Drosophila melanogaster: one gene and its partners. The protein of the gene in region 2 interacts with the protein of the main gene of each other region in a pairwise test. Each region holds a gene or a part of one and is shown on either strand. Other genes may lie near its edges. The genes, in order: udt, CG13627, PolZ1 and CG12645.

Region 1 (4,571 bases), 950 kb from region 2:
AGTATGATTAGCCACCACTGAATTTTTCAACTCTAAACACTTACCGCTACAATCTTGGCCACGGCCAGGGGCTGGACCACCGCCTTCCGCTGGACATTGGCCACCAGGGTGGAGTAGCTCTTCAGGGGAGTGATGCGAGCCGACTTAACAAGATTTGCGGCTAATTGGGATACCAACAAACGGTTTGGTTATATAATGAAAGCTGTTTTGCGTCCAATAACAAGGCGATTTGCCATCCAGTGGGTCCTTACCATTGCAACGGACAGCGCCACGCAGAAGCAACGAGAGGGACATGTTGGGATGTGTAAATATTGAGAATTTTCAGCTCAAAATAAAAACTCTATCGCTCCGTTCGGTTTGGGCCGATTTGTCTAAAAAATTACACAGCACTGGGCTAGTGCAGTCAGCTGTCATCGATTTGTTATCGGTAAACAGTAGCGGTCAAGATATTGTCCCACAATAATAAGGGAAGCCCAGTAAAATATTTTGAACTCAACAAACAATTAAAGGGTGTAATAAATAATAAGAAAACATTTAGTTCAAGGCATTTATTTAACTGCTTTAATTATTTGCACAATACATTTGAGATTCGTTTGGGACGGAATGGCTGTTACACGTAAAAATTGTGATGATCTTACAAACTAAGTTTAAAATTTGCTTAAAACTTTCTAAAATTCGCATTCTAAGGCACGCAATTGCTCCTAAAAGTGACTTTATGTTGGTTGTAAAATTTTTGTAAATTTCGTTGGATGGAATAGTTAAAAAATACTTTTGATATTATTAAGCTAATAAACTCCTAACCTGGACTAAGACCACGATAACGAGGCCAGTCAGTTGAAATTTTAGTGTCGCTGCTCCTGCTCGGTAAAAGTCCCAATCAAATATGATGTTGGAGGCATCCGACGGCTTCCAAGGATTCAATCCGTCATCGAAGTGCATGGGACAGTCGTCACGCTCCCTTTCGTACTCCACGGCATCGATGGCTACGGCAGCGCCCTCCGAGTGGTTCCACGAGGTCACATCTTGCTCCAGTTTGCAGAATGCGCCCACAGCCTGCGACATGAGGACACGGTTGAGGTCGGCACGCTGATAGACCCAGCAGCGATACTTGGACAGCGGATCCAAATCGTCGTACGTAATCAGGTAGGACTTGAGGTTCTCCTTCCAGAAGCCAATGCACTTCATGCGGTAATCGGGATCACTGTAGATATCAACGGGACGACCCAAGTGATCCACCGACAGGCAATAGTTTTCATCCACCGCCAATTCCTTTTGATCTGTATCGCAAACCGATAAATCCGAGATGTTTTGCTTGCAATGGATATCGGGACGCGGACTCAGAGTGACACCACCAAGAATTCTGTGAAATATACACATTAATTATACGTTTCATGCTACGATTGCAAAACATTACAAACCTCGTTCTGAAGGGATGCTCTCCTCGCTGCGTAAAGTTGAATTTTCCCGCAACGGGGCAACGAACAGGCACAGGATTTCGAGCAAGAAACAGATCATATTTCCATGCCTCCGAATTGGGGAACTGAACCCAAGAGCAGACTGTACTAAAATCGTCCTTGATCACAGCCAAACCCTTGCGGTAGCGAATGATGTTGTGGTGGCGGGGCATAAAGTCAAAGCACACGTAATCCTTCTGGCAACCGTCGACAGTGAGGCGAGCCATCATCACACGATTACCCCGTCGCTCTCGGCAAACATAGATTGTCTTTCGGTATCGAGCTTTATCCGGATAGTACGTCTCGTTTATGTGGGTCTCACTGATCGAGACATCGGCATCAATGTTGGCAGTGTTCACCCATTCTCCGCTAAAGTTTTGTGGTAGCGTGCAACCGGGTTCCACAAACTCAGCCTTCACTGGCGTCAGCTTTAGACGCTCCGGTGACGTTTCTGGCGTCTTCAGTGTGTTACATTCGGCCGTAATGGAAACGCCCACGTAAAGATCATCGTCACGATTCTTAAGGAAGCAGCGGTACTTCTCATCCTTACGCGACTCCTTTGTGTTGGCCACGGCAAAGTAGTGGTTCTTGCCCACAAACCAATCGCCCAGGCAGCTGAACTCCACGGTGCCGGTGAATGTGCCCTCCATACCCTCGCACTGCTGATAGGTGACGTTGAACTTCTGGTTCTGGATGAGGAACTGCGTTCCTGCCGTTTGACAGGACTGAATGCGAGCGTCGGGCTTATCGCATACGCCCGTGAATCGGAATCGGTTCTATAATAAAAGTTCAAATCAAGATCACTAATCAACATAAAATGGATATGTTTCTAGACCCTTAACTAAACCGCACCATGTGCAAATTATGTGATCTATGAATCTATTTTGATCTTACCTGGTACGTAAAATGCCACACTCCCTCCAGCGACGATCGGCAGTTGATGGGCACAAAGTTCTCGTTAAAGAGCGTTATCAACTGCTGGTCATCCTTAACACCACGACACACATAGTCCACGGTGGGTTCCTGTCCAGCGGGTATGCCCACGCAGGGCCCCTCAAACTTTTCGAACACATTAAGGGTGCGGATGATGGTCCTGACACAGTGATAGCAGTCCTTGGATCGCTCCTTGAAGACAAATGAGTACTCGTCGCCCTTGTGGCGCATGTAGTTGATGCAGTAGCCTCGGCTGGACATCGAGGTGGCGTCGATCACCGTCAGCGTGGGCAGGCCCGTTTCCCACGAGAACCACGATCCCTGCAGGATCTTTGGAATGATGCAGTTGTCCTTCTGCACCAGGTTGTACTGACCGAGGGCTGTAAAATGGATGGGCTTTAGTTTCGGGTGGCCAATTCACATGATTCACTTGGAGCCTTGGGTGTGGCTTGGGAATCGAATCACTGACCTGAGCCCATTAAGCCCACCAGGCAGATAGCAGCCAGGTAATAATGCATTGCGTGTTTGGTGTCCTCAGAACTAACAACTAAACATATTTATTACAATTTACTTTCAAATGGAAGCAACCAAAGGCGGTTTTAGTCAGAAACAATAGCAAAACACGCAACAAACACAAATTACCAATGATGGGCAAAGGCGACCTTACTAACACTGGCTTTAACGAAGAGCTAGCTGCACAGCACTGGCTGATAGCTATTAATCCACTCTTTATCAAATTGAGCGTTACTTTTTGAACTTAAAAATAGAGATTAATATTATTTACATATATGTATTTTTTTACGACTTTTCCTGGATAATCTAGACTCAAGTTTATGCTGTATGCAGCATAACTACTTCGTTGTATGCAATAGCTAATACAAATATATAATATCAACTCTTTTAACAATTCCTAAGAAAAATCGTTTCTATTAAAACGCTTTTTAGACTTACTCTATAATCTTAATGACACGTACTCAGACAACAAAGAGCTGTAAAAGATTAACCCAACCATACATTTTGTAATGAAATATTATTACTTGAACCTCAAGTTTAAATTTTTAATTAGCACTAGTTGAGCTATTACATACACATTGCCGTTTAATACAATTAGATATGAGATTTATTAATAAAGCTTAATTTATAAAAAAAAATGTTTCCATATCTATATATAGATTTGAATAAACACGCTTTTTGCAGTCTAGGGTTAATGGCAATGGAGTCTGGAGCCCCAGAAACGGGCACATCGAACCCGAGGAAGAACGCCCCCGCAATTATTCAACGGACTGCAGTTTGAACCTTTTCGTCACTTGTGCGGAATTAGCACAGCAATTTTCGCCATTACCGCTGCTAATCGGGTCATATATGGTGCGATTATGATCGCTGTACAGATATTCCTGGAATGTGATTCACATGCACGGAGTTCCTAAGCTGCAGTCCCCATATAGTACGTTCGAACTTTGGAGTCCCACACTAGTGCGAATGGCGTGTTTGCTGATAAGTCCGGCGGAGCGTCTAGGTGAACGGTGTTTGTGCCTCCATCCACGCCTTATCTGCTGGCAAAGGTCATCTTGGACTCCGAGCATGATCGGCGATCAGACAGCGGCGATTTGGTGTGCCAAGTCTATATGGTAGCAGCTCGATCGGAGGCCTGCCAGTATCAATTGAGCCGGCGACAGCAACAGTTCTCGCATCTCAACCGAATCTTCTCGAGAAATCCCAACACAAATGGGTTAGTGACACGCGCTGCCTGGTAGTGTCAACCCCCATTAATAATACGACTTTAAATCTTTGAACCCAGCAACTGCAACCAGCGGCAGTGGACTCCATCTGGAGGCCATCGATCGCATCGGCTCCATTCCCCTTGTGGAATCCAGTGTGAAGCGGGTGGAGACCATCTACGATAAGGTGAAGAACAACAATAGGCTATTCTCATGGTATTTTGAGACGGCGGAGGCCACCATTTCGGCCGCCTACGAAACCATCCAGCCGGCGGTCAAGCTCTTCGAGCCATCCATTCAGCGCCTGGACAACGTGATGTGCAAAAGCCTGGACATTCTGGAGCAGCGCATACCACTGGTCTATCTGCCGCCCGAAATGGTAAGTAGTCGGCTAGTAACTCCCCCCCATGCGCTGACAAAAGGGCATAATTCTCTGCTTGAAGATGTACTGGAACACCAAGGAGTA
Region 2 (6,809 bases):
TTCCCAAGTCCAGTTTGGATGGTTTCCATTGTGCCGTTCACTTCTCCAGAGGAGCATAGTTGAGCAGTTTTTCGATAAGATCCACGTGGCCCAGGAGCATGCGACGGCAGCAGTACCTCTTTAGACCCAAAGCATCCAGGGCATCTCTGGGATTGGATTGTAAGATATAATATATATATATTATATGATGAAATGCGGCGTGGAAAGGAGACTTTCCCGCGTGACTTACCCTTCGGTGTATTCCGCTTGCAGGAGACCCAAATACGACTCCCACTTGTTGCCAATGACCTTGCCGCAGGTGAAACAACGGATTGGAATAATCATTTTGTAGATCAGGCTCTAATTCTTAGTTAAATCACGAAAAATGTGCAATCACAACAATGTTTTTGGTAAAATGTGTTTTTACTTGTCATGAGTGTGACCAGAGTGCAGTTGTATTTTTATCTCACCAGCATTACAATGTATCGATAACACAAAAACTTATATCCATTCAAAAAGAACGCTAACGAATATTTGAATAAATTAATGGTTATTTTTATTAACTACCGACTGCTCGCTACATGAATGCGTTTTTTACAAATGAGTGTGTAAATAAATATTTTTGAACAGCGTCGAAGACTAAAAGTGCGTTAACTAATTACTGCTGGCCGTGAGATGCTCGCCGGCCACTTCGACGGAGGTGGATACCTCGAACAAATCTTTGGCTGACTCCTCGCTGTCGCCGTCGTTCCGACCCGCACTGGACACATCCTCCACCGTGCCCTTTTTCACATCATCCGATCTCTTTTGCAGTCGCTATACAAGGAAAGTCTCAAATGTTAGCATACGGAAGAATTTCTTGTCTAATTTTACCTACCGATTCGGCGGCCTCCTCGTCGGGCACAAAGATGCGAAGTGGCGTGTTGGCGCCAAGTTGCTGCTGCACCAATCGCTGGTGCTCCTCGAATGCACTTGCTGCTGGATCCTGAGCCACCTGCTGCTGCTGCTGCTGTTGCAGCTGCTGCGGCGGATGGTGCTGCACTGGTTGCTGCAACTGCTGTTGCTGCTGCTGCAATTGCAAGAGCTGCAACTGATGCTGCTGGTGTTGCTGCTGCAAGTGTTGCTCCTGTGCCTGTGCCTGCAGTTCCTCGAACTGCTGCTGTTGCTGCTGCTGGTACTGCGCCTGAGCCCTCAGCTCCTCCAGATGCAGCTGATGCTGCTGCTGTTGCTCCTGGGCCTGCGCCTTAAGCTCCTCCAGATGCAACTGCTGCTGCTTTTGCAGCTCAATGGCGGCTTGCTCTGTTTCCAGTTGCTGTCGACGTGCCTCCTCCTCTGCGTAGGCCTGCAGCAATTGGGAAGAGTCGTGGGCATGGCCATAGAAGTTGGACACCACGAAGCCACCTTCCGGAACGGAGGCAGTGACCGCTGACGCCACATTGGGCAGGTGGAAGGAGGCCGTCTCGTAGGCACCCTCATTGGGATCACCCAGTGCCGGAGCGGCAATAAGAGCAGCATATTGTGGCGCCGAATCAAGTACAGGATGGATGTTGTGATGTGGATCCTTGGCTGCCTGCAGTATCTGTCCATTGCTGGCTACCTCCTGGGTGAGATCGGCGTTCACGTAACCCGTTTCCACCACCGGTTCCGAGCTGGGCTTGAAAAGCTGCTGCTTGTGGGCCGAGTACAGTTGGTTGGACTGCGTCACCAGGTAGGTGGGATTATAGATGGGAATGTGGGCAGCCGGAATGGCGGCGATAAAGGACTGGGAGTGAACCGCCGGCTGGGCATACTGAATGGGATAGATCTCTGGCGCCGTTTGGGCTGCCGTCTGGGCTCCCACAATCTGAACCAATGGCTGGGCTGGCAGATGGTTACTCTGGACGTCGGCGGGCAGCGGTTTGTTGTTGCTGGGCGTATTGAAAGATTCGGTGGCGGGGCGAATCTTGGTGGTGGGCAGCGAGGGATCCGGATCTGGGGCAAAGAGTTTCTGCGAACCCGAAATGGGATCACGAATGGTTTGGTCATTGGTCTCGTCCTCATGCACACTGTACTTCGGTGGCAAATATGTCTGGGGACGGGCTGAGGAGGATGGTGTTTGGATCTGGGTCTGGGAAGGAGGCTTGTACAGGTAGGAGGTGTCAAGATGACCCTCCTCCACGTCCAGGTGATTGTCGGCCAGGTTCGGTGCGGGTACCGTGTAAATGGGTGCAAAGTGCTCGGTGTTGAAGTTGTTGTGCGTGTCCAGCTGTGGGGGATCAGCATGAATGGAGTTATGTTATATGTTCAGGGGAGTGGGGGGCATGTGCAGTATAAGGATATCTTAAGAGCAGGACATTTTCAATGGACTCCACTTACCGGCAGATTCTGCAGCTCGCTGTAGCTCACAGCAGTGGGCTTCTCGTACTTAAAGGGCTTGTCGTATCCGAATGTGGGTTTCGTCTTGGGCTTCACATTGTTCAGTTTGATCTTCAGTGGTTTCCTTAGAGATCCAGCTGGTTTCAGGTACACGGGCGACGGACCACTCAGCTTCATGGGACGAGGTGGTCCGCGTAGGTGCTGATGCTGGTACTGATGTGGCACATGGATCAGCGGATGCGAGTGTAGATGGGCATGTGAATGGGCGTGCGACAGGACATGTGCAGGATGCACGGAATGCGGATGGGCCAGATGGGCGGCATGGCTGTGCGCTCCATGTCCAGGACGACCCTTCAGTACCAAGGGCACCGGTTGATCGCTGCGTATTTGGACGACCAGCGTGCGCTGCTTTCCAGGCGCTCCAGCGGATCCAGGACCTCCAGCTCCAATGGCGGGACGACTCAGCTGCTTGGAGCTCTTCGGTGGCCAGTTGGTGAAAACCAGTGGACGCTGCTCGCAGTTAGCCAGCGCCAGGAGCAGTGCGAACAGCAGAAATGGCTGGCGAGGATGGGATGGGACAATGTCAAAGACCATTAAATCAAAAACATAATTACTCGTACATACAGACATCGAACAAAACGCCGAAAGAAATAAAAACTTTCTAAGCCCGGCAAAGGCGAAGAAGAAAAAAAGGGGCGGTGAGGAAGGAGGAGGGTCTTGTAATCGCTGGACAGCAACAAAACTGTAATGGCCTTAATTTGAACAAATTGGCGGTTTTCTAAAATTTTATCACGTCGCCTGCCATTGGCTACTTAACCAAAGCTGCTTAAGCAAACGAGCCAAACAAAGTAGCTTCGCATTTATAAATATACATACATATATATTTATACGGGTATGCCATAATACTTTGCCCATTTTCCCCGCTTCGATGGCTGATTAAACTTTCTGTCCACAATGCCATAGAATGAAAGTGAAAAGTCCGTCATCGAAATGTCTTCGTTCTATAAATTTTACTGTCGCATTGTTTACAATTCGGCGGGTATAATGCATCACTGACTCATTTGGTGACACTTTCATTGAAATTGGCTTTAGAAACTTACAGCCTACCTTATACGTTATATACGAGTATTTTGGATTTTTCATGCATTTTATATAGGTTAAAGGGAATGGCTCTATTAGTTTAGGTATAACACAATAACGAAGAAAGAAATACATATCATGCATCTAATAAATTTATTAAGGCGTAAAATGTCAGATTTTTATAGAAACATATATAGGAACCATTAAAATGAAATGCATGTTATTCCTTGAAAAGAATGAGTATGTGCCTCTTCAGCGCGGCTGGCATGGGTCTCTTTAGTCTCGTCGATGGAAGGGGAAGTGGGTAATTTGAGGCGGCCACTGGACATTGAAATTTCACCTGGGCAGCGCACCAGCAGAGCCACTGGAGCCACCGGAGCGGCGGCAATGACAATGGCAATACGGTGTGCCGTTAGCCAGACGTCAATCAAGAGGTGAAATGCCTAGGCGAGTCCAATACGTATAGTTATTGATTACGTGCTGCGTTTGCTTAAACGGATTGCCGATTGCAACTGAAACTGACTGCAGCGGCGGTGATCGGGGTAATTGCCACAAAATTGGTGGCTTATTGTTTATGGAGTGGTTAGTTAGTAAGTTAGTTAGTTTGTCGCCATTGCAACATGCATCATAATCATATGCAAATACCAGGGGCGGCCTGCTGGTGAATGAACTGCTGCCAGGAGACGGGTGCCCGATGCCAAACACTGAAAAGTCTGGCAGGGAATGGCCCACGGCGACGGCGGATAACCCGTTCAACGAAAGTCCAAATGGAATTCGCATAATTTCGGGTTTCCTTTTGGGCTTGGCCGGCAGTGCCATTGAACCTGACAAAGGATTTTTGCCAACGGCCTAGGCGGAACTATTGATCAGCGGGCTGTCGCCACAGCGTCGACCATAAACAACGGTGTGGTTAACCCAAATTGCAACTCGAAATGCAACTTTTATTTTAGCGGCAAGCATTTTATTTTCAAGCCCGCTGCACATTGAGGCAGCCGCCTGTGCCTCACAGTTTGCAGCTTGCAACTCACAGTGTGCGATGCAATTGGTGCACGTAAAGCCATCCATTGTCTGGATCTTGGCGAAACTTGGCGCATCAAGTGCTCCCATTGCAAATGAAAGTGCTCGCTTTGCCGGCCACCTTGCAATTTGACAAATATTCCGACGACTTCAATTCAATTGAAGAAGCTACAGCTTCATTGTGCAGCGATTGCAATTTGCTGGCTTTGCTGGCGAAGGTGAAGGTGATACCAAATTTGAATGCCAATCTCAGTCTGAAGTCGTTGATCGCCGATGAGAAGAAGAAATGCCATTGAATTTGCAATAGAAATTAAAGCCAATCCATTATTGTGTTATGCTGTGCGCAGTGAGAGACTTTTTAATAACCGCTAATTGTGGCCAACAAACTCACAATACCCGCGTGAATCACTTACCCTCATCTTCTTTCGGATTTGCTAGAGATTTTCGTTGTTTTATTGTCGGGTAGCTGGCTGATGGATCTGGTAGACTGTAGAAAGCTCTGGGGCAAATGTCGAGCAACTTTTGGCTTCTTCTGCTACTCCAGCAGCAAATAGATGAAGATCAAAATGGCAATTAGGTATATAATCACGTCAATTAACTTCATGTCAACGAGCGCCGCGGCGCTTTCTTCGATCTTAAACTGCACGCACAAAAGATTTGTAAAGAGTTTCGAATATAAATTCGAGGAGCAGCGACGTCCGCACCTGTTCAAGTCGCGAAGACAACTGACTGTTAGTTGGTCGCTGGTGGCGGACAAAAACCATGTGCCCATCCGCTGGAGTTCCACTGGAATGGAGTGACGACTCGCATTGGAAGTGCGCACTGAAGAAAGTGGTCGGATTTTCTTGACTCTGGCGCCGAATGAAATACAAAAAAAAAAAAATAAAATAAATAAAAAGCCAACAAATAAAACTAGTTTGCAGTGGATAAAGCGCAGCACGCGACCAGCAGCTACATGAATTGCCAGCAAGTGGCCGATTAATCGCAACGAAAGTGTTTTCCCATTGACTGTTCTTGGCCGGCGAAAGAAAGGAGCGAAAGAGACGGCGCCAAACAAAAGACTTAAGCAGCGAACTTGTTGTCGTCGCAAGTCAGCACTCGCTCTTTACCTTAAAAAGCAATGCGGACCAGGCGCACATGATCAAGAGATGGCCCCCCAATGCCGCCGTCTGTCACCTGTTGGCCCCACTTTTTAAGTCTTTTTTTTTGCTGGGGCAGCAAACAGGAGCAGAGCCACCGATTGAAATTACGAAATGCGGCAGGCACAGTGGGGAAAATAGCAAACATTTTAAAGCGGAACCAAACAATATTTTGGGAATAATAAGATATTATTATAACATTTTCATACTTTTTAAGATGTTGCCAATATTTTTCCAATAATTTTAAACTCATATTTAACTGCATTAAATATCTGGCTAAACTCGTCGAAGACTCAAAGGAATGCGTGAAAGCTTTTTCGAATTAGTTTTTGTACGGAAGTCAGCTCAATTGGGGGCTAAGGGTTTCGTAGAAAAGCTTGAGCTGTATTTTAAGCGATATTTGATGGTAATGTAACTTAATTCAGATGTGTCCCAAAAACGAATGGATGCAATTTCCATAACCAATGGATTCCGTATGATAGGCTTCACATTTCGGATGTACATATACCAAAGGCCCTTCGATGATAATGAGACATGCTTATGAAACGCTCCCCAATAATTGGTCGCATTTTATGCAAGGCGCGACATCCAATTTCTAAACGCAATTGGTCATTGGAATTTTATAACGCCCGGCCAGCCATTTTTTGGGTCAGTATTTGGCGGCCCAAAGTTTTGGGACATAAATCAAAATTTCACTTTCATAAAGCTCTCAGTTTGGTGGTAATTTCTTTGCTATTTTTTTCCGTATTTATATTTTATTTTGAAATATTATTTTTAACAAGGTTTTTTAAACATTAACAACATAATATTATTATTATACCTTTTATTTCATACATTTATCATTTCTTTTGGTTTTTTCTTTCGGTTGCGTTTTAGACAAATGTTTAAAATATGCATTTTTAGCTCTTCAATTTGTTATTTAAAATGTTGTTTATTTTTTGTTGTTTTTGCCTTTGCAGGACCATTTTAAACTAATTTGTCATTTTATGCTTTCTGCTCTGATTTCGGTTTAGTTTACTTTAATTTCAATGTAAATTAATGAATTTTTTTTATCGCTTTTTACGTTTTATTTATGTCTACTTTTACGTTTTCCGTTGTGTAAATATACCTCATATAAATAGCGAGTAAAAACTAAAAAAATGTAACTACATTAATATGATTTGCATTGTTTTTTTTTTTTTTGGGTTTGCATTATTTATACAATTTATTTAGCACACATTGCCGGATGTGTATGTGTGC
Region 3 (7,834 bases), on a different chromosome or scaffold from region 2:
CTCGATTTCGACCCGGCACAAGAACGAACATGGAGTCCGTGTCGCCATAGACGACACGCACCTTCCACTCCTCGTTGTTCTCCACTAGTTTGATAGCACGCTCCAGGGTCTCCCGTCCTTTGGAAACTACAGAATCGCCCACTTCCACTGAAGGCATTCGGCCACTGAAGTTAGCGGCGGTGTAGCCATAGGTAACATTGGCCATCAGCTTAAGGCCCAGCTGCCGTGAGTGAAGGATCCGCTGAAGTGCAGAGCTGTCCTTATGGAGCTTCATCGACTGTTTGACCATTTGGCGCGTGTCCAAGATCTCGGTGAGCATGCGCGGCAGGATGCCCTCGCGCACTTCACGCTTCACGAACACAACGCCGCATGGCGAAACAGTAACCAGATCGTGCTCCAGCAACTTCTGCAGCATCTGCCGCGAAACTCGGAGCTGCGACGCGCCAAATTCAAAGGGCGAACTTCCACCCAGGTGCTCTACTCTACCCAAGCACGTGGAGAAGCAGTAGTTGTAGGCGATGATCATGCTGGGGTACAAGCTCTGAAAATCAAGCACGATTAGGGGATCGGCATAGAATCGTGACTGCGGTTCCATTATTAGCGCCAAGTACTCGGGAGCTCTCATATGAGCGCGAGCCTGGACGCTGGGTGAAAGTGGCACCAGGTTCTTTGGCTTGGCGATTCTATGAAGACAGAGAGTTCAGGGAGGATGCAACATATTTTGCCTGCGCTCAAGGGTTACACTCACCTCAGCATCATGCTTTCCACGCGAAACTGTGAGCCGCGCGACAGCACCTCGTAGAACTGAATGCCAATGAGCTTGGCCATTTCGCTAGTCCGTCCCAGTAAGTCCAGCTGATCCAGGAGAGTTAAGGTGCCACGCACACGCTCCAAGTAATATTCCATTACTATCCAGCGGGTGCAGGGTGAGCCGAACCATTCGGTGAGGGATTTGGCAGTGTGCCAGGGACATCTCTTATGCAAAATGTGGTACATTACGTTTTCGAAGGTGTACGACGTCAGTGCAATCTCGGAGCGCATCAGGCGCCATACGTCCAGCAGAATGCGGCCGCAGAGCTTCATTTCCACATCCAAATCGGTGAACTGCTCCCGATCCTCGTCCACAAAGTCCCGGACCTTCTGTGTGGGCACTCGGGACAGCAGAGGAGCGATGTTGAAGCACAGATGCTTGGCCCGATCAATCACATAGCCCCAAGAGGACATCTCGATTTCGTACCCTGCGTATATGTCCGCATCCCACCGTTCACACAAAGCCAGCAACGCCTCAAATGCCTCCGCTTCACTGGTCACTACTTGCACCTCAATATCGCGATCTATACCATGAAAAGGTCCTTCACTTAGCAAATCCTGGACAGTGTTCACCATTATATAGCCGCAGGCTTTGCTAGGCAGCTTTTCATCCGGCAAACTGTGTTCGATAGCATAAAACAAACACCGAATCTCGTCGTGCATCGGATCTGGTTGGAGATCACCTCGCGTGGACACAAACACCTCTAACGTTATGATTGTCAGGTGGTTGCAATCAATGTCGGCTTTGGCCTGCTGCAGATTCTCCAAATTAACCTTGAACCCGAACGTGTTGTCCAAGGTAGCGTGGCTAAGTCCAAAGCTGAGGTCGTGCTGCCTATCCTGGCTACTGCCCTCTAACTGGCGCAGAAAGGAACTACGATCTAGCTCCGCCTGGGCCGCACTACTGGAGACGCTCTGTTCGCTGGACTGCGAGCTTGGTGGTTCCTCGTCCTGGCTTCCTATGAAGCTGAGCCTAGTTCCGCGCTTAAGGCGACTCTTTCCTGTTTCTCTGGCTTTGCTACTGGTAGGGGTTGCCTTGCATTTATCCTTAGCTTGGGACAAGGGCGTTAGACTTAGACTGCAATCGAGTTCCTCACCAGCATCTTCATCGCCACTTCCGCCATCGCCTTCCTCAGCCTGCAGCATCATAGTGATCTTCTGCCGCTTGATCTTGATGGGGCTGTCTATGTCATCAGAGGACTTTTTTGGTTCCTCTCGTTGACGAAGGAGTTCCTTGGCTTTCAACCAGATCTTGGCTTCCTGCCAGGTGGGTGCTAGTTGTGCTGGCTCGATTGCTATTCTTTGTTGCGTGCTGAAATACTCCCGTACTTTTTGTTCTCCCCGATGTCGCTGCAACATTGCCAGGCCACCAATGGCTATCAGTTGCCGACGACGCCAGGAGGCCAGGCCACGATCATTGCCCAGTATGCTCTGGAAGGGATCACAGTCATTTAGCTTGTTCCCCGGAATGTGGAGCACCAGGAAGCCCACCTCCGTCACCTTGCTCACATCGGAGGGATTGCTGTAGTATGGCTTTTGGAACTCGTACTCGGGTATGTCCATTTTACGGCTACCGCTAACCACTTCATCGTAGGATGGAGGCAGCTCCAAGGGGGCAATCACGAACGAGTTGCTATCGGGAGATGGAGGAGCAGACCTAGGAGAATCCATATGTATCTCGGGGCTATCCAAGAAGTCACTGAAGACCGACGGACTGTTCACAATCAGCGAATGCTCATAGAAACTTCGCATCAGCTCCGGTGTGTTGCTCTCATTGCTTTTGGGACTTAGCTGAGGAGTGGTCTCAGTCTCAGGGGGTCTTATGCCTGAACTGGGAGTAAATTGTTTGTTCAGCAACTCCGACCGAATGCTCCATCGAAGGCGTTTCAAGTTGGGTGTTTTACGAAGTTTGGTGACTATATAATCGCTTTCCGTGTCGGATTCGATAGCCTCATCATGGCATGGACTAAATGTGATCTCCTCCGTGGAGTTTGCTGAATCTCCAGGCGAAATACCAGCTGGTTCCTGTGGAATTAGCTCACGTTGTAACTTTTCGTCACAGCTTCGTGCAGTTTCATCAGACTTTTTTGGTTTACTTTCGAGATATTCGATTTGTTCAGAAACAGAGTTTTCCTGCTGATGCGGACTCTCTGAGTTAGATGAACTATCTTTTGTTGCTTTTTCCAATGCAACAGTTCCATTCATGCTTGTTTTAGTATTTTCTTTGGGACTTTGGGATAGTCTGGCTTTCTTTTGAGGTCTATCCAAACTTGTAGTCGTCACTCGTGGCCCAGTTGTTTGTATTTCGCTGGAACACTCATCTGGATTTGCCGAATTAACCTTATGGCGAGCACTGCGACGCGGCTTCAGCTCATCCAAGGCACTTCCTTCTGACCTGTGGGGTCTCTCTATCTCACAACCGGCCTTGGGTAGACTTTCTATATCTTGATTCCGAGTGCTCCATCGCGTCTTTCTTACTACTTTCTTTGGTGGTAATTGCTTGCCGTCCTCTGTTTCGAACATGTCGCTCAAGCCAGGATTTCTGTCCCTCGGCGTAAGGGAACAAATAATGTGTGTTTTGTCCAGATTGCTAGTTGATCGTCTGGTACTCCTAACTGGAGTACAACTATCGGGAAAACAATAATATAAATCGCCTTGCCATAAAGGATATCAGTTAACCATACTCGTTCTTTAAGAGCACAAAACTGTCCTCGAAACTTTTCCGTCGCATCTCCGACATGGCTAGTTTTTTGCGCAATGAGATTTCTGGCCTACGAACAAAAATGTTGGTCATAGAAATGTTGGTACATATGATGAAAACAAAGAATTTGATTACCGAAGTGTTCCCGTTCCGGTTCCTTGGTCTAGCTGCAAACTGAGGCGTGGATTAGATGGTCTCCCTGCGAATTCATCGTTGCTTTCTGCAATTGGTTATGATTGCAAAAAAAATTCGTGTGATCGTTATCAATTCTACCCACTCTTTGATGAACTGCTTCCAATTGTCAAAGCCAGCGGCGCATATTTCTTGGCTGCACTGGTTTTCGGAGTACGTGGCGATTTGGGAAGACTTTTCTGACCTATTGGCGTTGTTGGAGTCTTTGAAGGACTTGACTTTGACTTAGAGCTGATCGATTTAATGGGGGTCCTTTGTAGGCGATCATCAGCACCATCAATTTGGGGCAGTTTACTAGATGCTTTCAGTTCCTTCGATTCCGCAGGCTGACTTTGTGTTAACTTAAGCAACAACTCATCGACATCGTCTAGGACGGTAGAGAAGTCATGTCGGGTTTCTTGGTCGGCATCCTCGTCGGAGTCAACATCTTCGTCGAAAAGAGCAGCAGTAGCTGCGGTCTCCTTGTCCAACAATTCGGGTGTAAGTTCGACTACAAAAAGAGATCAGTGTAAAACATTTATTAAAAAACAACTCCATTTCACAACAACTCACACTTTTTATGTTGCGACAATGGAGCCAACGAACTGTCTAAGTCCACATGCGATTCACTTTCATTCTGCTCCTCCAACAGCTGCAACGCGTCCAAAAGTTCCAAATCCTCCTCCCTCACTGAAGCAAGGAGAAAACAACTGGTTTATACCAAAGTGCGAGTTGTAATTTTGGCAACCGTGTACTCACAGGTGGCATCATGGGGTATCGCTCCATGAGGCTGTGTGAGGCTCAGTATTAGTTCCTCATCCACTACAGTTTCGTCCAAGTCATCGGACTCATCCTTGGAGGTTGACAAACTGACACTGCTGCTGTAGCCGCAGGTAACATGGTTTTGTATGAAGGAAGCATTAACCAGCAGTTGCTGCTGATCCTGTGAGCATTCCTCCGGATAAACGGCGTTGGCTAGAAGTTTTTGCAAGTTAAACCTGCGTTTCTGTGCCTTTGTGCCGGGCATGGTGGTCTGCATGGTTGCTTGGGGAAGGATTGTCTGATCCGACAACGTTTGCTCGGACAGTGTGGACTGCTCCAGTGTCATCAGCTTGCTCTCCAGAGCGGTGCGGTAGAAGATATCGCTTTCGGCGATTTCAATTTGATGCCGCTCCTGTGTTGGCGGTAACTCCAATACTGGCACCTACGATGGATGGACAAGGCTGTAGGATTTATCAATACAAGATGTATTCCCGGATTACCGCTTCAGCCTTCTCCTCATCGCCAGCATCGGTGTGCTTCTCGACAAGTTTCTGTCGGCGCAATTTCTCATCATTCCAGATGGCCTCGATGCCGGGGTTAGTGTGGTTGCTCTTACTCTTCGCCACCAGCTGGAACCGATTCAGTATGAAGTTCGAGCTGACATCCACCTCTAAAGCACTGCAGGCCACTTTCTTAGCGGTTGTGATGTCCAGAAGCTGCGCTTGCTTGACATTTGCATAGGGGATTACTAAAGGGTTAGTTACGGGTTAGTTAGGAACTTAAATAGATGATGTATCCAGCTTGCCGTCATCGTCATGGTTGCGCCGGAACTTGAGAACCTCCAGCGGGACATGCACATAGCTCATACCGTACAGATTGTAGTCGATCATAAACTGCAGAATGTAGGGCACATGCGACTCGTGCGGACTGAAGTTCTTGCTCAGAATGGCGCCGCTTTGGAGAAGGTTGGCGGCGCGGCGTACGAACCGGGGATTGAACATGTAGATCTTGAGGAACTGGTGTTCCACTCGATGGTAGCCATAGAAGGGTCTGTAAAGAGAGGTCGGTTAGAGATTTACGCCAAGAAGTCGTCCAGAAAGAACTCACATGCCCTTGACCAGCTGAATTTTGAACACATGCTGGGCGTTGGAGCTGCCTTGACCCAAGGATATGTTGATGGCCTTGTCCAGGTGCATGGCCATCTGCAGGATGCCCCGCTCCAGGGACTCAAAATCCTTCTTGTCATACGGAATGTATAGATAGGGGAAAACTCCGTGTACATGCATGCAGGTCTTCTGGCCTCTGGAGTTGCCGCCAAACACTCGAATCACTGGCACCTGGAAGTGGAATGGATCGTTATACCAGTTTTTACTGTGGTGAAATAGACCGGCTCACCCGCTTGATTTCTTTGCCGCGCAGCTCCGAATAGCACGGATCCATTCCGAACTGCGGCTTCTCCATATAGAAATCCGCGATGACCAGCCGGACGGAGTAGACTCCATCGATTGCCTCTCCTGCGGCTGCCATTTTCGCCAAAACTCAGATTCGTTTTCGCAGAGCTATTTGTTGTCAATTCAATTCAAACTAGAGTGACCATGTATCGAAAAGTATCGATCTATCGATTGTTGCTTTTTGAATTCAAACTAAGGGCAAAAACGTAAAATAAATATTTTTAAATTGAAAGAAGAGCTCTAGAACTTAAAGAACTAACTTGGCAACAATGTTAAGAAAAACTTTAGTGCAAGATGAAGGAATTTTATACTTGACAATGCTAATTTTTGTATAAACTTAATTACGTAAAGGGTCCTACAACCCATATATATCATTAGTTGTTAGAGGCTCTTTTTAAGGCGCTTATATAATCAAACCCTTTGTAAAAATTAAAGTTTTAAATGGAATTCTAATCGATTTATTTCACATTAGCTTTATTTAAGTGTGACCTACGCAGAAAGCTAGCGAAATACTCATCAACCCTCCCCCGCCATCGCAGCGCCATTCTCCTAATTTGCGAAAAAAGCTCCGGGAAAAGGAAAAAGCGGCAGTCGTAATAGCGAACTGAAACTGAACGAGAGTAAAAGTGAAAAGACAGCAGGAACTCAGCCATGTCGAAGATCGGAATTAACGGATTTGGCCGCATCGGCCGCTTGGTGCTCCGCGCCGCCATCGATAAGGGCGCCTCCGTGGTGGCCGTCAACGATCCCTTCATCGATGTCAACTACATGGTTTACCTGTTTAAATTCGACTCGACTCACGGTCGTTTCAAGGGCACCGTTGCGGCTGAGGGCGGATTCCTGGTGGTGAACGGCCAGAAGATCACCGTGTTCAGCGAGCGCGACCCGGCCAACATCAACTGGGCCAGTGCTGGAGCCGAGTATGTGGTGGAGTCCACCGGAGTGTTCACCACCATTGACAAGGCGTCCACCCACTTGAAGGGCGGCGCCAAGAAGGTCATCATCTCGGCCCCATCCGCCGATGCGCCCATGTTCGTGTGCGGCGTTAACCTGGACGCCTACAGCCCCGACATGAAGGTGGTCTCCAACGCCTCGTGCACCACCAACTGCCTGGCTCCCCTGGCCAAGGTCATCAATGACAACTTCGAGATCGTCGAGGGTCTGATGACCACCGTGCACGCCACCACTGCCACCCAGAAGACCGTCGACGGTCCCTCTGGCAAACTGTGGCGCGATGGACGTGGCGCCGCCCAGAACATCATCCCGGCCGCCACCGGAGCCGCCAAGGCTGTGGGCAAGGTCATCCCCGCCCTGAACGGCAAGCTGACCGGCATGGCTTTCCGCGTGCCCACGCCCAATGTCTCCGTTGTGGATCTTACCGTCCGCTTGGGCAAGGGAGCCACCTATGACGAAATCAAGGCTAAGGTCGAGGAGGCCTCCAAGGGACCCCTGAAGGGAATCCTGGGCTACACCGATGAGGAGGTGGTCTCCACCGACTTCTTCAGCGACACCCATTCGTCTGTGTTCGACGCCAAGGCTGGCATTTCGCTGAACGATAAGTTCGTCAAGCTAATCTCGTGGTACGACAACGAGTTCGGTTACTCCAACCGCGTCATCGACCTGATCAAGTATATGCAGAGCAAGGACTAAACTAGCCAAAACTATCGTACAAACCCGGCGCCCAGCAGCTGGTCGGGAATCACTGTTGCATAATCCGCAAGGGGCGCAATTGAGGATGCTTTTTTTTCAAATGCACAAAATAGCCATAATTACGCAAAGCTACATATTTATTGTTGTTGAATAAAGTATCGCCCTGTTACTGTATTTAAATGCCAGCTATTTGAAAAATAAAACTTGTGCATCGAATGAAGAACGTTGCTTGTGTAAGCCCAAGGGCGTGTGAAGGTTATATCGGGCGGACTTGCTGAGATATGCAGTG
Region 4 (3,808 bases), on a different chromosome or scaffold from region 2:
GTTACGACAGCAACGGCGCCAGCATCAGCAGTAGCAATAATAAACTGATGCGTGGACAAAGCGGCGTATACTTGATGCGATTGAGTTTTAGCTTCCACATTATTCCACCAGCTCGGCCATAATGCTCTTTTGGTCATTATTGTTGTTGGCGGCACCGTGAACCGACTAATTGTCGAGCTCTGTCCTTTTGTTTCTCGGCCCCGCAGCTGTGGCCTAGTCAATCCATCCATCCATAGCTGGGCTTTCAGTAACGGTTTTTGGCCCATTCGTCGAAGGCCATGTTGCGCTGAAGGCTGCAACGTACGAGGCGCTAATTGAATTTGCTGCCACCGCTGGCCAATTGCAGTACCAAAAATTGAACAAAGCCGCGCAAAGCACTGAAATAGGCAGAAACCTCGAAAACAAAAAAGCGCAACTGGAGGCCAAACAACTGCGGATGGTTCAAATTCTGGGGACACTCTTCTCGATTTCGGGTATATAAGTTCTTGGCAAAAGATTGCATTTGCCCTTTTGCCCAATTACATAATAGTTTCTTAGACATATTTATAATTTTATTGTTATATTTAAGTAATTGTATCTAAATTGAATACTCTCTTCTTTTTTTTGCAGGGTATCAAATAACGAACAGCATCCACAACAACCAGCACTCGTTGGCAGGATGTGCGAAACGGAGTGATGATGAGGCAATTTGTTTAGGCCAGTTATGCATCATTTGGGCGACAGGGCAGTTCAGTACAGAGCATGGCAATGGTAATCGGTGTATGGTGTCCGATGTTGAAAGGATTGTGGATTGTGGATTGCGGATTGAGGACGAAGGACGATGGGCTTAGGTAGGCAATTCGATTTGACGGCGCACAATTTCCGGTCGCGCCCGGCACTGCGTTACTCATTACAAGCGAATAAGCGCCAAGTCCTTGCGGTCAGAAGCGCGTGCCGCCCCACTCAGCTTTATTCGCACACACGGAAAACTTTCACAATTAGCGGCCGGATTCCGGCTGCGATCCTGCAGGATATTTCCGGACTACCGCCGCCGGCAGCAGCAGCAGCAGCAGCTCCTCGGATAATGTGCGCCCAGAAAGATCTCGCAGGCGGAGCAGTAATGATTCGTTGTCCGGCAGCCATTCCATAGATACGGAAACAGGCAAGCGCAGCAGCACCAACTGAAAACAAAAACATAGATACATATATACGGATATGAGTATATCAAAGTTCGAGGTATGTAAATCGAAAGTTACTTTATCTATTTCCATTATTTCATACGATTTTTGAAAGTTTACTCATCATTTTGTTCATATTTAGTGTTAAGTACTTGAAACTTAGCACTTCTGAAGCTAACAACGTTTTGGGTTAAAAGTTAGTTAAAATTTTCAAACTAATTTAAATACCCAACTCACCCAAAAGTGCACAAGCAGAGGGCCCAAAGGTTAGTCCGAGCATTAGGTGACCTCTTCAAACGGGTGACTCCCCGTTGACCACAAGCTGGGCACACGATGTCCATCGCCTGGCTACCCAGTTTGGGTTGCGGGCTTAGGATAAAGAAATCTGGCCAATACACAATTTCAAAATATGCAATCGAATGAGTGTTCAGTTCATAGTTACCATCGCACTTACTTCTCACTGGTGGCATTGCACGATGATCGATGCTATTGTTGTCCGCTAATCCTTCCGATTGTACGCTCACCTCGTCTTTCGTTTGGGACATCGGCATCGGCATCGGCATTTCCTCCACCCTGGACCTTAGATGTTGGGGTTCTGCAAAAAGGGTTCTTCGCCGATCGTTGGAATAATCCAAATTATTCTGAATCGTAAACGTTTGCATTGCATCATAGTAGGTCGGCGGTTCCGATGGCGACAAGGACATGGGTCGCTCTATCTGCAGATCCTGGCCGGGATCCTGGTCTTGGAACAACATGCGATGCTTCTCTTCGGCCATTCCAAACCCTTCTGTTGGGCCAGTTTCGCCCTACGATGGTTTTTATTCCTTGGCAAAAAAGAAACAACCAGCCAAAAACAGTTGTCGATGATAGTGAAACATTCTGGGCCAATTAACCAGCTGCTAGCGATATCAACGAGTCACCCCAATAGAAAACTCCACAGTTGGTCAAAAAGTGCTTGAAATGGAAATGGTCTAGCTGAATCACCTTTATTTCATCGTCGTTGGAGAATATTGTCAGCTTCCGTTTCATTTCCTGTTCATAACTTTTGCAATATGTGCTGCTGACCGCTTGCACTGGCAACACAAATTTTCAAATGCTCAAAAATACACGTAAATATTTTTACAAAAATTTCTTAAAATTATTTGAAGTGTATAAATATCTCTTTAAAACGAGTTGCATAGAATGTTATGAATCAAAATCTTATAGTGTTGCTATTTCTCGCATAGAGTTTTCCACAATGTATTCCTGTTTGCGTATTCATTTTTGTTTTTCTGTTTTCCTTCAAGTTTTTTCAATATTTTCCAACGACACGATGAGGATGGAAAAATGTGAATGAAATTCTGTTTGCCACTTTGCATTTAATTAACTTTATCGCATGCATGTAAATAGTATACAGGCGCAAATAAACTAAACAGGTATACGGCAAATTATAATGAAAACTTTCATTTGCATACGGATAACTGACATATCTGGATTAGGTAAAAAAATATACCTTTAGTTTATCCAAAAAAAAAAAAGGAACGTTCTTCTTTACATTGCTTAAACTAACATTTATCGTTGTCCGTTAAATGCCTGAACTTTCCTGATATTAAATTTGCCTGTTTTTTTTTTAAGGTCTTAAATTTTATTTATGAATTCCAGGGTGTGCCAACCTTTGATTTGCTTACTCCTGCTGTTGTTGTTCCGCCATCTGCCATTCAAATGGGAATCGGGTTTTTTTGGGATCGGGGCACTGAGAGCTGTCGCTGCATAAATTTGCAGTCCATTTCAAGTTGGCTCATCGCTTTGATGTTTGATTTATTGCACGCTGTTTGTGGGCCCAATGGGGGGGGGGGGGGGTGTGATAGGGGATTGAATAGGGGTCAAGGGGTTAAGGGGGGGTGGGGTCCGAGTGCCATGCCGTGGGCTTATCGGCCGACATGCCAGACAATTGTGAATAGCAACTGCAATTGAATTTGACAGCGGCGGAGTGAATGGGGACCAACTCGCGTATCAGGTGCTGACTTGGGTACGCAAATAAATGTATGAGGCGGGCAAATAAATCTGTAAAAGGGTTCGCATTCCATTATGGATCCTGACATTTGTCTATTTATGCATTCTAAAGGTCAGCTATCAGGGTTTAAAAATGGAGCTACATAAATAAGTTAGTTGTTAAAGGTTAACAGGGGCGTATCTTTATTATTGGATTATTTATTTATTTACATTTATTCCTGGCAGTTCATTTAGTTCATTAAATTCTTACATTCAAATTAAGAGCACTCATTTGGGCCACTCCTTGCTCGATAATCCCGACGATTGGCCTTCGTTTTTTGGGGGTCTTGGGATTTGGCTCAACATTCGTTCAACTGATTAAACTGTTAGCTTATTTTCGCACAGACCGCCTATAGCTCTCTCTCTCTCTCTCTCTCTCTCTCTCGCTCTCTCTAGCAGAAGCACCTTCTCTGTCGCACTGATTGCGGCTTTGGCTGAAAATGTGTGCAAATAATATTTCGTGTAATTGCAATTAGCGCCAAAAAGGTTTTCACCGTTCACAGCTGCTGAATGGAGCAGTCGTATCTTCATCTCCATCAGCGCCCACTTTTCACCACGCTTTCACCACCGCCCATATAATCTGCCTCTTTCACTTTTTTTTTATATACAAATATACATAC

Evidence for each region.
Region 1: the proteins of CG13627 (region 2) and udt interact in a two-hybrid assay, tested with the Drosophila melanogaster proteins (one large-scale study listed by BioGRID).
Region 3: the proteins of CG13627 (region 2) and PolZ1 interact in a two-hybrid assay, tested with the Drosophila melanogaster proteins (one large-scale study listed by BioGRID).
Region 4: the proteins of CG13627 (region 2) and CG12645 interact in a two-hybrid assay, tested with the Drosophila melanogaster proteins (one large-scale study listed by BioGRID).

What each region holds. Positions count from the first base shown.
Region 1 is NT_033777.3:23,760,201-23,764,771, forward strand, and holds udt (undicht), read right to left. Parts: upstream 3,064-4,571; 5' UTR 3,030-3,063; exon of another isoform or gene 2,935-3,029; 5' UTR 2,906-2,934; coding exon 2,857-2,905; intron 2,768-2,856; coding exon 2,349-2,767; intron 2,231-2,348; coding exon 1,419-2,230; intron 1,361-1,418; coding exon 781-1,360; 3' UTR 537-780; downstream 1-536. Other genes in the region: SdhD (succinate dehydrogenase, subunit D), read right to left, coding at 45-160, 252-294; Lsd-1 (lipid storage droplet-1), read left to right, coding at 4,113-4,116, 4,186-4,484, 4,549-4,571.
Region 2 is NT_033777.3:24,711,133-24,717,941, reverse strand, and holds CG13627 (uncharacterized protein), read right to left. Parts: upstream 5,163-6,809; 5' UTR 5,036-5,162; coding exon of another isoform or gene 4,967-5,035; 5' UTR 4,851-4,966; coding exon 4,845-4,850; intron 3,159-4,844; exon of another isoform or gene 2,965-3,158; coding exon of another isoform or gene 2,959-2,964; intron 2,893-2,958; coding exon 2,335-2,892; intron 2,225-2,334; coding exon 857-2,224; intron 796-856; coding exon 634-795; 3' UTR 512-633; downstream 1-511. Other genes in the region: Polr2L (RNA polymerase II, I and III subunit L), read right to left, coding at 38-146, 230-324; CG46316 (uncharacterized protein), read right to left, coding at 4,967-5,035.
Region 3 is NT_033778.4:7,791,833-7,799,666, reverse strand, and holds the start of PolZ1 (DNA polymerase zeta subunit 1), read right to left. Parts: upstream 6,043-7,834; 5' UTR 5,972-6,042; coding exon 5,840-5,971; intron 5,782-5,839; coding exon 5,552-5,781; intron 5,495-5,551; coding exon 5,250-5,494; intron 5,193-5,249; coding exon 4,945-5,192; intron 4,887-4,944; coding exon 4,442-4,886; intron 4,373-4,441; coding exon 4,256-4,372; intron 4,194-4,255; coding exon 3,789-4,193; intron 3,732-3,788; coding exon 3,647-3,731; intron 3,582-3,646; coding exon 3,495-3,581; intron 3,437-3,494; coding exon 749-3,436; intron 684-748; coding exon 1-683. Other genes in the region: Gapdh1 (glyceraldehyde 3 phosphate dehydrogenase 1), read left to right, coding at 6,547-7,545. UniProt on the Drosophila melanogaster protein: As the catalytic subunit of the DNA polymerase zeta complex, plays a crucial role in translesion DNA synthesis (TLS) and various DNA repair mechanisms. Lacks an intrinsic 3'-5' exonuclease activity and thus has no proofreading function.
Region 4 is NC_004354.4:10,151,737-10,155,544, reverse strand, and holds CG12645 (uncharacterized protein), read right to left. Parts: upstream 1,934-3,808; coding exon 1,600-1,933; intron 1,543-1,599; coding exon 1,395-1,542; intron 1,216-1,394; exon of another isoform or gene 1,161-1,215; coding exon 1,022-1,160; 3' UTR 536-1,021; downstream 1-535.